Linked DNA regions of Drosophila melanogaster. The protein of the gene in region 2 interacts with the protein of the main gene of each other region in a pairwise test. Each region holds a gene or a part of one and is shown on either strand. Other genes may lie near its edges. The genes, in order: Rab30 and Golgin245.

Region 1 (4,707 bases), on a different chromosome or scaffold from region 2:
GGTCGTGTATAATGGTCTTCAGGAGAGGTGGACGGCTTGCATTGACTGAGAAATGGTTTATAACGGGAAAGGAGATCAAAACCACAAGCACTGCAGAATTTCTCGATTTTTTGCTCACAACTACACTCAACACTCCAGAGATACTCCACATAATAGATTGGAAAAATTGGATGATTAGAGAAGATTGATGAATCTATACTTGCTGCAAATGTGGGGATACGAAAAAGTAATGCAATTCAAAGCTCTGCAAGCGTTTTATTTAAAAAAAAAAAACCACTTGTTTCGAGTGTCCCAACCCTAATAATCTGATAAGAGATGCATTTGCAGTATATTAAAAAACTTTATTTTCCCACAATGAAAATTCGATCGGCCGATTTTTAACTCTTAAAGTAATGAAGAAAAACATTCTGTGGGCTAAAGCACTTAATAATATTTGCAGTACCTATAACTTAAGGTGGAAGAGCTATTTGAACTCAGAATCGGAGTGGAACGATTTTTGCACGAAATTATTAAGGTGGTTAGTTAGATCCTGAAATCGATGGGATTTTTTTTTTTTATATGCATTATTGTACAAAATACTGTTTTAAAAACATTTGTAATTATTTATCGGCTAAAAGTTTACATTCCAATTATTGTGATATTTATATAATAACAAGATATATATTGCAGCTTTTTTAATCAACAACTTTTTCCGCATTCGTAAAAAGTTGATATACTTAATCAACATATTTTATATTTTACTCAGCTGTAAATTAATCAGCTGTAAATTAATTAAACACTCTTTTCCATTTTACTTGTATTTAGTTTATTTTTTATTCAGCTTTCTGGTCTATTCATAGTTTCTAATTCTTAATTTTTGGAATGTCATAAAATCACCTTAAACACTATTACGAATATCATTTAAAAATTGCATTACCAAAGATTGCACATTAATCGTAAAAATATGTAAAAATAATTGCAAATAAATATGCATAAATTGTGTATGTATACAAAAAATGTAATGTATAAAACATGCAATACTCCTTGGGAATTAATTGAAATAAACTAAATGGTGAGTCTAGCATTTTTGATATCATAAATTCTTCGTAGCATTGGCTGTGATGCTCACTTGGTAAACGATCCATAATCAGATCAATACATACGTCTATATAATACAAATCAAGAAAATCAGGCGGTCTTAAACACCTCCAATGGAGTTCTTGTAACACAAATATTTAGCATCCTTAGTCATTGACAGCTAGTTTCCCATAGGATCTTAATCGTGATAAATAGTAAATTAGTTTTTACAATCAATTTCTTTCTGTAAACCAAAGGGGATACAGAAATAATCAATTTTTTTAGTCTTGTAATTAAAATAATAAACCCTTAAGCATGAACAGAATATCACGATAACAGATAACAGATTAGCTGCACAGTTTCCAGATCCGTTTGCACATTGTACTTTAAATGTTTGTTGTTATCGTAGTTTAGTGAAAGCGAAGAGAATTGCTCTAAATACCTTTACATTTAAAGGTATTTGAAGCCGATGTGTTTTAACAATCTAATAGGAATCGTTACAAAGACAAAGGCAAACGATCACGTCATAATCATGCTTATAAAAACAAAATTTAACATATGTATGTATGTGTTAGAATGTGGGAGCATTGTGGTAATAAAAGATAAATGGAATATCACGATTAGTCCTTAACAAGTTACAGATTAGCTGCTCAGCTTCCAGTTCAGTTTGCAGCTGCTCAGCCGCCTTGACTAGAGTTGGAGCCGCCGCTGGCGAGTCCGCCACAGCAATTGCTCTGCGCTGCCTTGGCACTGAAGCTCCCCAGTCCGATGGAGCTGCCCTCCGACTGACGCTGGGCGGCTGCCGCTGCGGCCGAACTACTGCCATCCTTGCTCCTTGCCTGACCAATCAATTCGGCGGCAATCTCGTAGAACAGACGCTCTACATTCTCTGCCTCCTTGGCGGATGTCTCCAAGAAGTACATGTCATGCTGCTTGGCGAACTCTTCGCCAATCTGGGTGGGTATCTCTCGATCATCCCTGTCCGTCTTGTTACCCACCAGGATTTTGAGTACCTTGGAGTTGGCATACTCCTGGATCTCGCGCAGCCAGTCCGGCAGGCAGTCAAATGTGGGCTGGCAGCTGATGTCGTACACCAGGATCAAGGCGTGAGCCGATCGATAGTAGCTTTGCGTGATGGATCGGAACCGCTCCTGGCCGGCGGTGTCCCAGATTTGTAGCTTGATCTTCTCGCCCTCCACCTCCACGGTCTTAATCATGAAATCCACACCAATGGTGGCACCCTGGCCAGGTGGAAATAGACCCTGAGTAAAGCGGCGCACTAGGCATGTTTTTCCAACACCAGCATTGCCCACCAGGACGATTTTGAACAGGAACTTGTAGTCCTCCATTGGGGATGTTGCCAAAAATGGGTTGGTTTTGGGGTTTTTGAGTCGCTGGGTGTGGGCAAGTGTGTGTGTGCTCTGCGAAAGTAGACGAAAGTTAGTCGGAGCTTAGACACACCTAGTCAGCGACGCGTAACGATTATACTTTGCTGGCTGGTGGTGGTTCGTTGGATCAGCTTACGCCATCCCCAGCGAAGACAACGCCTCTCACCTGTGGCTCACCTGGGGCTCTATCACTAGCTGGCCAACGGCTGTTCGCCTTGTTTTTTGGCTTATTTGGCTAAAAGATGATGACTCAACAGCAGCTGTAGATGCTTGTTACTCGCTTATCTATGCGAATCGGCCCCAAATCTATTCAGCAGGCTTTCGGCCAGGTTGACTATGCTTGCAAATTTGTAATCAACTGGTTGCATGCTGCCGCATTAATTGCCAGCCTTAATTTTGCTTATGTTTACCAACAGAATTTTACTGTATTTCGACGTGATGGTATTTGATTAGAGATGTGACATCAATTCCCATAGCAATACTTAACGATGTTTTTCTCGGTATCGATAGATCGACGTTTTGCAAAGCACTTAAAAACTTTTTGAAGTACGGTCACTAGTTATCGATTGTTCATCATCGATAAGTTCTGTGACAACCCTGAAGCCGAAAACAAGCAGCCACGCTAGAGAAGAAAATCTGGTTGAAAATTGGCAAAAATTCTAATTAAAAAATCGCAAAAGCCAAAAGAGAAGTTCGTAAGTCGTCCTACGAATTCCGCTGTGCGTCCCCACCACATTTTGATTTCTCCAAACGTGCCAGACACCGAGCAGGGGACTTTTTTCACGGAGCACCCCGAATTGCAGCGAAGTAATTTTCGAATATGGCCGAGGACTTTGATGTGGAGGCGATGCTCGAGGCGCCGTACATGAAAAACGTAAGTTCCCAAAGGCCGGATAACAGCCAACTATCGTTTAAATTAAGTCCCACTGGCTTTTGTGCCCACCCAAGGCAATTATTTTGCTGTGCAAAAACAAAATGAAAAAAAATAGAAAAACAGTTACTTCATATGTATGTTTGTATACTTCTTTTCCCACATAGACACCCACAGGCGTACGTGCATTTTGTGTTTGTATGTAAGTCGTCTTCGTCTCGGGCACACACACACACACACACACATGTGCAGTCGATGCATACTAAGTGGTCTTAAATCGATTTTTAGCCTAATTTTGCTGTTTAATAAAAAATCGGCAGCCGGAACGCCAATCTGCGTGCTGATTTTCGTAATATTTTTTTTTCACACTAGACTGCGTTCATACAGAAAAGTGTTTCGCCAACGGAAAATCTGTCTGTGTGTGGGTTTGTGTTGTTTATTTTCCTACGCGGCATTTGATACAGTCGTGTACTGCAGTGGGTGTACAGTGGGGTGCAAAATATTTGGCAGGGCTGCAATAGCAACTGAAAACGTTTAACAAGTATCAGGGAAACTTAAAGGATTGAATTACTAACAAGACAGTCATGATTCTGTAAACTATAAAAAACAACGTATTTTAGTGATATTTTATATCTCTTACTAAACTTGGACTTTAATCTGTATTATTGACTGAAACGGATTTTGTAGCAATTGGTATTCCTCTTATCTTATCTGGGCAAACCATCTGTAATAATATTTATTAATAGGTTAAAACTCAGCCATATGAAATCATACTTGAAAAATCTCAATATATTATAAAATAATTTGTAGGTTAGCAAACCACATTTTTCCGTAGCATTTACAAATGCAATTTTCGGTGTGTTGTGGAATAAATCTAATAAAATTATCATTAATTAACCCAAAACCAAAATCAGCATTATTGTCCGACAGCTCGCCAAGGTTTTAGTCAATGTAGTAGTCTATGACATCCAGCTAAAGTTGGAAATTAATTGAATTGAATTCTTTCGCCCCAAACCAACAACTCATGAGTTCAACGCTCCTATTTCTTCCTATCTGCTGTCTCACTAAGAACTACCGACAACTACCCACACACAATCACCATTAAAAAATACAAAAAAAAAAAAAAAAAAAAAAACCAAACAAAAATGCTAGAATAATTCTTAAGGGTGAAATGTCTTTGCAGAGAATCGAATAAGCTCAATATTGTTGCTAGAGATTGTTTTGGTCATTCTAAACACAAAAAGCTGGAGACCATTTGGTAAGTTTTGAATGTGCCAGAAGCTGCGAAAAAAAACCAATTACAAAATTACAAAACAATAAAAAAAAAAAACCAAAACATATCTAGGCATTTTGTATAAAATATGATTTGTTTATGTTTGCGTTTTTTTTTTA
Region 2 (7,995 bases):
CTTCTGCTGCACTGCATCTCTTTGGTACTGAAGCCACTGCCCCTGGATACTGATATCTCCGCCTTCGTAGGCTTCCTGAAGCGCCTTCTCGTGGCAGTGCCACGATCCGGAGTTCAACTGGCGGCCGTCAAGGCCAGCCTACGTCTGCAGAGATTCGGATTCAAGTACACTCTGGATGCCCTGAAGGACTACAGGCCCAACTACGAGCTCGACCCGTTAACGCGGGCCATGATTCGATGCTTTGCGAAACGGAGGAGGCACTTCCGTCACGTGGCGGCCACTGGGCGGCGTACAGAGATTTGAGATTCCCTTTTATGAATTGTAACTATTTATTTATGTATGTTATTGTATAGATTTTGAATTAAACTAAATGCCAACTGCGCTGCGGATCTTTACAAATTTAAACTTACAACTAAAATACACAAAACGATTGCACTTAGGTTAGGCTGGGGTTAAGGTAAGTCGTGGACATGGGACATGGAGCGCAAGCAAGTGAATGAAACAAAGGAAAGCGTAATCAAAATGTACAAAAGTGCTTAGCGTGGATTTGGACAGAAGTAGCTATACTTAATTCGTGGACTGTACAATAACATGGATCTAGGATGCGGCATACACATACATCAGCGGCTTCTACTACTCGAAATGCCTGCAGAGTCAGCCGGAAGCACCCATGCCGTGCGCGAGGGTGAGGTATAAGTATAAGGTACTTGTGATCTCCGACATCATTTGCGGTCTAGAAGCGCCACCGGGCAGGGCTCCCAGTTCCAATCTCCGCCGTAGAGAGCCATCAGTTCATGCTAGATCAGTTTGTTCAGCTGCAAGTGTTTGTATTGGGTTAGTTAACGATGCAATATGGAACTCAAATGGGCTTCCCTACCAGCGATCGCCGCTGATGCTCCTTTTCCAGTGCAACTTGGGCCTGCTGCGGCGAAAATTTGAGCACTGCCGATATCACCTTGACAAGCGTCTCGTTGTTCGTGTTCCCAGTTAGGTACTGAAATGGAATATATCAGTTAGTTGGGAGTATATATTTGGACATTATCTAGTTTGATTCCCCACCTGGAACATGATGTTGCGCAAGTACTCGAATTCCGTGTTGGCCGGAACAGCCTCGCTGTGTTGCATGGATACCTGTCGGCAAGAGAAAGGAATCAGCAATGGAATCAAAGGGTGGGTGCACCGCTGCTATGGACTCACCAGGGTTTCATCCAGTTGCCGCGAGAGTTTCGCATTCTGCAGCTTAAGTCGCTCGTTGGACTGTTCGAGTATGAGGAAGTTCTCGCATTTTTGCTCCAGGAACAGGTTTCGATTCGTCACGTCCTGCACCTCGTTCATAATCTCTTTGAGCTTAGACTCCAGTTCAGCCTTCTCGCCGGCAGCGGCTGCCTCCTGAACGTTTTTGGGCGCCATGCTGGCGAGGAGTTGCTGGGCTTGTATGCCGGCTCGCAGGGTTTCCAGCTCGTTGATGCGCTCCGCCATCTGCTGGTTGTTAGCCTGCAGCTCCTCGATCTCCTGCTGCATATTGGACTCCGCACCGGCGCTCTTGTGCTTGAGATCCTCCAGCTCCCGTTGCAGTCGCTCGTTCAGGCTGCGCAGGCTGTCGGAGTCGGTTGAGGGGGATAAATGCTCCTTAAGGCAAATCACCTCCTGCCTTAAGCCATCAGCTTCAGCCTGCAGCAAGGCCTGCTCATCCCGACTCATTGCCAATTCGATTTGCTTATCGTGGAGTTGCTGCTGCGCTTGAAGAAGGTCTTTTTGGACCGCATCACTCTGCTCGGTGACAAAGCTGGCGTGCTCCTTCTGGCGGGTCAGCTCCACCGCCTGTTCCTCGATGGCCTTCTTCAGTTCGGACACCTCTGCCGTTGCTGTCGCACTCTGCGTTTCCTTTTCGGCCATTTGGACGGCATGCTGCTCGGCCTTCTCCTGAAGAACGTACAATTCACATTGCAGGGATTTCAGTTTCTCCTTCAGCTCCGCACTCTCAGCCAACTCGGCCTCCAATTGCTTCGTGTGCTTATTCAAATACTCGTTCTCGATCAGGATCTCATCGAATTTGGCCAATTTTTCGGAGGCTTCAATCTTTTCTTGTAGCTGACGATCCCTTGTGGCCATGGCTTCTTGGAGCTCCACCACCTGACGGTTTTTCTGGGCAATTGACTCCTTCACCTCCTCGCGTTCCTGGCCGTGCTTAATCTTCAACTGTTCCATCTCCAGCTGCAGGGCATCATTGGCTTCGTGAAGACGCTCTACGTCTGAGTTGGCGGCGCTCCAGCGAGCTTCCAATGTGGCAATTTGCGTGGTGTAGGACGAATTGGTAGCCTGCAGTTTCTCCTGAATGCCCTGCTCTGTCTGCTTATAAGCATCAAGTTGCTCGCGAAGATTGCTGATCGTGGCCTGCAGTTGGGTCTCACTTTCGCTGTTTTGGGCCTTCAATTTCGCGCATCGTTCGGCTTGGTCTTTCAGCTGCTGCTCCTGTTCTCTTTGTCGCTCTCTCAGCTCCGACAGTTGTTGGTCCTGCTCCTTCAGTTCTCGATCTAAGTTAGCCTTAACCCTATGCAGCTCCTCACTGGCCGACTGCAGGCAGTCCAGAGTGTGTTTGGTCAGCAGCTTATCCTTTTCGTAGGCATCGCATTTATCCTGCAGCGTCCGATGGTCGTGATCCATCAGCTCCTGGGCATTTTGCAGCTTCGAGTGCTCGTCGAGCACCTGTTGCAGCTTCGCCTGGATCTTGCCGATCTCGTCTTGTTTGGCTTGCAGTTGGGACTCCAAATGATTCGTCTGCTCCTCCAGCAGACAGTTGCGTTCGGCCAGCTTGGTGTTTTCGCTCTGGATCTCCTCCAGCTTAGCTGAGGTCCTCTCGTCCTGGGCACTGCTGTCCACTTGCTCCTGCTGCAGTGACTCGATGCGGGATTCCAGCTTGCGCTTCTCCCGTTCCAGCTCGCTGTGTGAGTCTTGCACCTGTTGCATTTGCGCCTGCATGGTGCCAATCTCCTCCAGAATTCCAGTGACGCGTGCCTGCAGCTCCTCCTTTTCGCTCTCCACCTGGCGAGAGTGACTCAGTCGATCTGCCAACTCACTTTGCAGAGCTTCGAGGCGAGCGCTTTGATCGCTTGATTTCGCCTGGTGCTGCTCGTGTTGCTTCTTTATCTTGTTCAACTTGTTGCCGCTGGCTTTCAGTTCCTTTTCCTTGGCCAACAAACTGGCCTGACTGGTGGCCAAGTCCTGACTAAGAGCCTCCAACTGCCCTTTTAGTGCAGCCACTGTTTCGCTCTCCGAGTTCGCGTGCTGATCTTGTAGTATTTGAATCTCTCGCTGTAGCTGTTCCAGCTTAAGCCTATGCTGTTCCTCCTGGGAGGCTTTCTCGGAATTCAAAGCGGCCACAGATTCGCGCTCCATTTCCAGGCTCTTCTCGAGTTCGAGAGCATGGAGCTCCCGTTGCGATTGAATGGCTGCCAATTCCTCTCTTGCCCGAGCGAGCTGAGCTTCCCAGTCGTTTTGTTGATGACGCTGGACAATTTCGAGCAACTGATCATTGTGCAAGCGCAGGTCCTGCAAACTGTGCTCACTTTCGGTTTTAAGCGCATTCAAGCTTTGCTCCAAGGATGCCGCTTGCTCTTCCTTGGCCGAGAGTGCGGCCTGAAGTGCGTTCAAACTGTGTTCAGTGGAAAGAAGTTTGGCTTCGGCTTCGTCCTTAGCTGCACGTAGTTCATTGATCTTCTGCTGGGAATCAGTACTTTGAGCTTCTCGTTGTTCATTAATGTGGTGCAATTTTTCTACATTCACATCGTTTTCCTTGGAAAGAGTTTTCAGTTTGTCTTCCAACAAAGCGACTTTCTCTTCCTGTGCTTTATAATCATTCCTGAGGGAGTGCAAAAGTTCTTCCGTGGCTAAGAGCTTCGATTCGGCTTCGTCCTTGGCTGCTTGCAGTTTCTTTTGCTGATCCTGTGCTTCGTTAGTTTGAGAATCGCTACTTTTCTTGTTTTCTCGCAATTTATCTAAGTAATTTTCGTTTTCTTGTTTCAGTTTACCCAACTGCTCCTTCAGATGCTTTAGCTGCTGCTCCTTGGCTGCTTGTTCGCTTCGGAGAGATTCCAAGAGCTGATCCTTGGACAAAAGCTGGGACTCCGCATCCTGAACGGCTGCTTGAAGTTTCTTTAGTTGCTCGCTTGAATCGCTTGCTTGGGTATTTCGATCTTCGTTCTGTTTCTGCAGATCTTTTACTTTCTGTTCGTTTTCCACCCTTATGGCTTCCAGTTGCGCTTCGAGTGTGACCACCTGTTGCTCCTTGATCGCATAGCTTTCTTTTAGGGTGTTCAGCAGGTGCTCTGTAGCCATAAGTTTGGCATCGACTTCCTGCTTCGTGGCCTGAAGCTTTTTGAACTGCTCCTTGACTTCGTTGTTGTGGGACTCTCGCTGAGATTCCAATTGCTTGAGTTTCTCCTGAAGCTTACGCACCTCGGTGTCCTTTAGCTCCAATTCCGTATGGATGGCCTGCTTTGTCTGGGCCAGAAGAAGCACGTTCTCCTCCTCCTGCTTGCGCACAGCTTCGTATTTTTCGGTCACACTTTTCAGCTGCTCGTCCCGCTCTTTAAGTAATCTCTGTAAGTCGGACACACCGGAACTGCCATTGGTGGACAGGGGCGACTTTCCGATCGACTCCTCCAGGTCGATTAGCTGTTCGGACTCCAGCTGTTGGCCGCTTCTCTCCAGAGCCGCCGTAATATTCTCAGGATTTTCGCCCAGCAGCTGGAGCTTCGTCTGATAAGCCTGCATTTTGCAGCTCATGTCGTCCATCTCAACGCGCAGAGCCTCCTCCAAATGCGCCTTGGCCTGCTGCTCCAGCGTGCACTGCTCCCTCAGCTCGCTGATTCGGCGCAGCGCCTTGTCTTGCGTCTCCACCAGCACAGACTGCAAAGCGATATTATCGGAAATGTTCGTTACACAAGCTTATCAAGCAGACCGATTAGATAGGCAGATAGATAGATACCCGCGCCTTGGAGCTGTCGCGTTCCAGTTCCTTGTACTTTTTGGCCAGATCCGTGTACCGACAGCGGTACTTGTGGTAACGATCAAGTGACTTCTTGTACGCATCGTACAGCTGGTCCTTGGTGATCACATCCAGACGAGCCGTTGAGGCGGAGTCGTCGAACTCGCTGCTCGTTTCGTCCAGATCAGATTGCAAGTGGTACACCTGGAAAGTAGAACACATAATTAAAGCAATCTCGGAGACTTTTCGGCCACTTACAGCTGGCGCTTCATATGTAGGCAGGCGGAAAGACACGTCGCTGGCCATGGACGAGTTGGAGAGCTTGCGGGTCCTGGAGGTGGCGCCGTTCAGGGATTGCGTCGATCGTCCGCGCAGAGCGGATGCACTTGTGGCCGGCAGCTTTTGGATGCGATAAGGCGAGTTCTGAGGTGTGTCTGCGCGGTGAAAGATGGATTGATATGTGAGATAAGGAACCCCAGGTGACTCATGGCGTACTCACCCTCCTCCGTGATGCTGAAGAAGTTCTCATTGTTGCTGGTGTTCGTTTCCGAATTGGGTGTTGTGCTCGACGATGAGCTCACGGCGGCCTGGGAAAAAAGTCCAAGGAAGACTCATGAGCAGCTGGTCACTTCACTTTTCACTTGTGCACCCAGAAATGGGTCACAATCGCACAATCGAAGGCGACCCCTTCCCAGTTCACCGACACACATGCAATTCCGTGTCTGTGTGCGTATGTTTTCCTCAATTTGCATTTTTCATCGGCAATAAGCACCGCCCCGCCCCCGCACACAAAAATACCTGTGCAGCATTCGCAAATTGCTGGAACTTCGAGGGCGACGCCTTCACCTCCTCGATCAGCTTGTTCTTCAGGTTGGCGAACATTTCGAGTGCCTGCTGCGCTCTTTTTCAACTGGTTGCGCTACCTGGTTTAAGCACTATTCAATTTGTAATTAAAAAACATCTAAATAAATACGTGTCTGCAGATGTTCATTCAACGGTCACACTGCCGATAGCCTCGGGAGTTATCGATAACAAGCGCAGTATTCATTAGGGACGAACGCAACTGCGGGTCATTAAGTTTATGAACGTGACGAAAAATTTTAATAAACATAAATAAATGTTACGTACAATGTAATTTTTATTTAATACACACAAAAGTAACAATTTAATTAGTTATAATTGATAATACCTACCTCCATGTTTTTTAATACCATCTTGGTTCAAGATATTTTCCACAGGTGGCGCAGGTTATCTTTAAAAATATTTGGAAGCCTGTTGAACGCCCTTTCAATTCTTTAAATATAGATATATAGAAAGTTCCTAGGTATGATGTATTCAATTTTTTCTAACAATACTACTATAATGAACTGTTTACACGCTAAAACTGAATGAAAGCTGGTCAAACTTGCTAATTATGCAATGATTTAGCATTTTAAGTAGCCGCTCGTGTTTGAGGAATCCTCATGTTGTGGGCAAAAACGCTTAGTTAAGCACCCTACAGTTTGTTTTTATTCGAAGATAATGCAGCATACGTTTAAATTGCACTTCTTTATTTATAAAAACCGCGCAATAGTTCGTATAACTGTGTTTTCTTGTACGTGAAATATACACTCTTTTCATAAATTCTATTTTTTACAAGTTGTTATTCTTTTTAAGTTAATTGATTTTTAGTCGATTATAACGGCAGGCGATAAGGCCTTAGTTATTAACGAAGAGGAATTGAAAAATAACTTATAAAGAAACACATCAACGAACTTTATTGCTTTGGTTCTGTAACGAAGCGGCCATAAACTTTAGTAACCTGTTCCAGCACGAGCTAAAGATGAGCTTCTAGTTAAAGCATTCAAAATATGGATGGTTTATTACGCACTTTTCAAATACATATATAATTTTTGGGTTACTGGTAAGTGGTAGTGAGCACTTGGGAACATACAAAAGAGAGTGAAATGCATTTTAGTAAATGTCTCGAGTTCATCCGTCCGTGCGGTCGCCTTCTGCCGGTGGATGGATCACCGCTCACTTGTGCAGGTTCTCGAGGAACTCCTTGTGGCGCTGGATGGCCTCCTCGTGCTCCTTGATCTGCTGGTGGTGGAACTCAGCCTGGTGGATCTGGTCGTTCTTAAGGCGATCCAGCTGCTCCCTTTGCTGCAACGAAACGAACAATGATGGATTCTCTCGATTAGCCGGTGCGAAATACAATTAGTGCTAGCAAGTCGTAAAAAGCTAATTGCTGGTTAGCTAAGCCCGCCCACCCCTGAAGCTTGCCATCAATATTGATCGACTGTCATCATTAGCTGCCAGCCATATAAGAGGCTTTACTACAAGAGACAATATTTGGTTAACAATTTTCAGACCGAACCCGTCACACGGGCAGACAAAAAGTTCGGATATCGCCTGAATGACCACGACAAACAGTCGACGGAAGTCTGTAAAGAGTGCGAAAAAGATCGGGGGAAAACCACCTGCCGCCAATGAACCTGAATCATTGTCTGCCGTTCTGCCTGCTCGTCTTCAAGCCACCAAGCTAAAAAGCCTGTTTTCAGTTGATAGTTGGCTACCGAAGTGAGACGTCGAAGAAAGTGTCGTTAGATCGGGGTCACCGTATTAAATTATTCCGCATTGTTAGGCCGCATCTGGCCAAATATCAACAGACCCTTGCTCTTAATTGGTCGTCAACAAGTAGACAAAGCCAGGCCGCGGTCCACACTCTTCGATCTCCGCCAGCCAGCCTGCCTGCCTCTCTGCCACTTATCAACGCCTCAGGAACCAACTTGCTTGATAAGCAGCTGCCCTTAGTTCGAACAGAACATTTACCATCCGACTCTGCTGCGGAATGGTTATGATGCCCCTCCGGATACTGCTGATCGCCTTTTCGCTGACGCTAGCCCAGAGCTATGGCGTCGGTGTCAATGGACCGCGTCCCGTGCGCACTGTAGAAACGCTGACGCAGTGGGGCCAGCTGGAGTTCGGATTTCCCACGGCGCAGGATCGGGAGAACGCTCAGGCGG

Evidence for each region.
Region 1: the proteins of Golgin245 (region 2) and Rab30 interact in a two-hybrid assay, tested with the Drosophila melanogaster proteins (one study listed by BioGRID).

The regions. Positions count from the first base shown.
Region 1 is NT_033779.5:7,029,701-7,034,407, forward strand, and holds Rab30 (Rab30), read right to left. Parts: upstream 2,907-4,707; 5' UTR 2,537-2,906; intron 2,478-2,536; 5' UTR 2,406-2,477; coding exon 1,734-2,405; 3' UTR 793-1,733; downstream 1-792. Other genes in the region: caper, read left to right, coding at 3,265-3,318.
Region 2 is NT_033778.4:23,371,046-23,379,040, forward strand, and holds Golgin245 (Golgin-245), read right to left. Parts: upstream 6,001-7,995; 5' UTR 5,870-6,000; coding exon 5,786-5,869; intron 5,575-5,785; coding exon 5,487-5,574; intron 5,422-5,486; coding exon 5,246-5,421; intron 5,192-5,245; coding exon 4,988-5,191; intron 4,909-4,987; coding exon 1,198-4,908; intron 1,132-1,197; coding exon 1,060-1,131; intron 995-1,059; coding exon 878-994; intron 816-877; coding exon 798-815; 3' UTR 315-797; downstream 1-314. Other genes in the region: Ice1 (uncharacterized protein), read left to right, coding at 1-303; CG13551 (uncharacterized protein), read right to left, coding at 7,004-7,132; yellow-d, read left to right, coding at 7,821-7,995.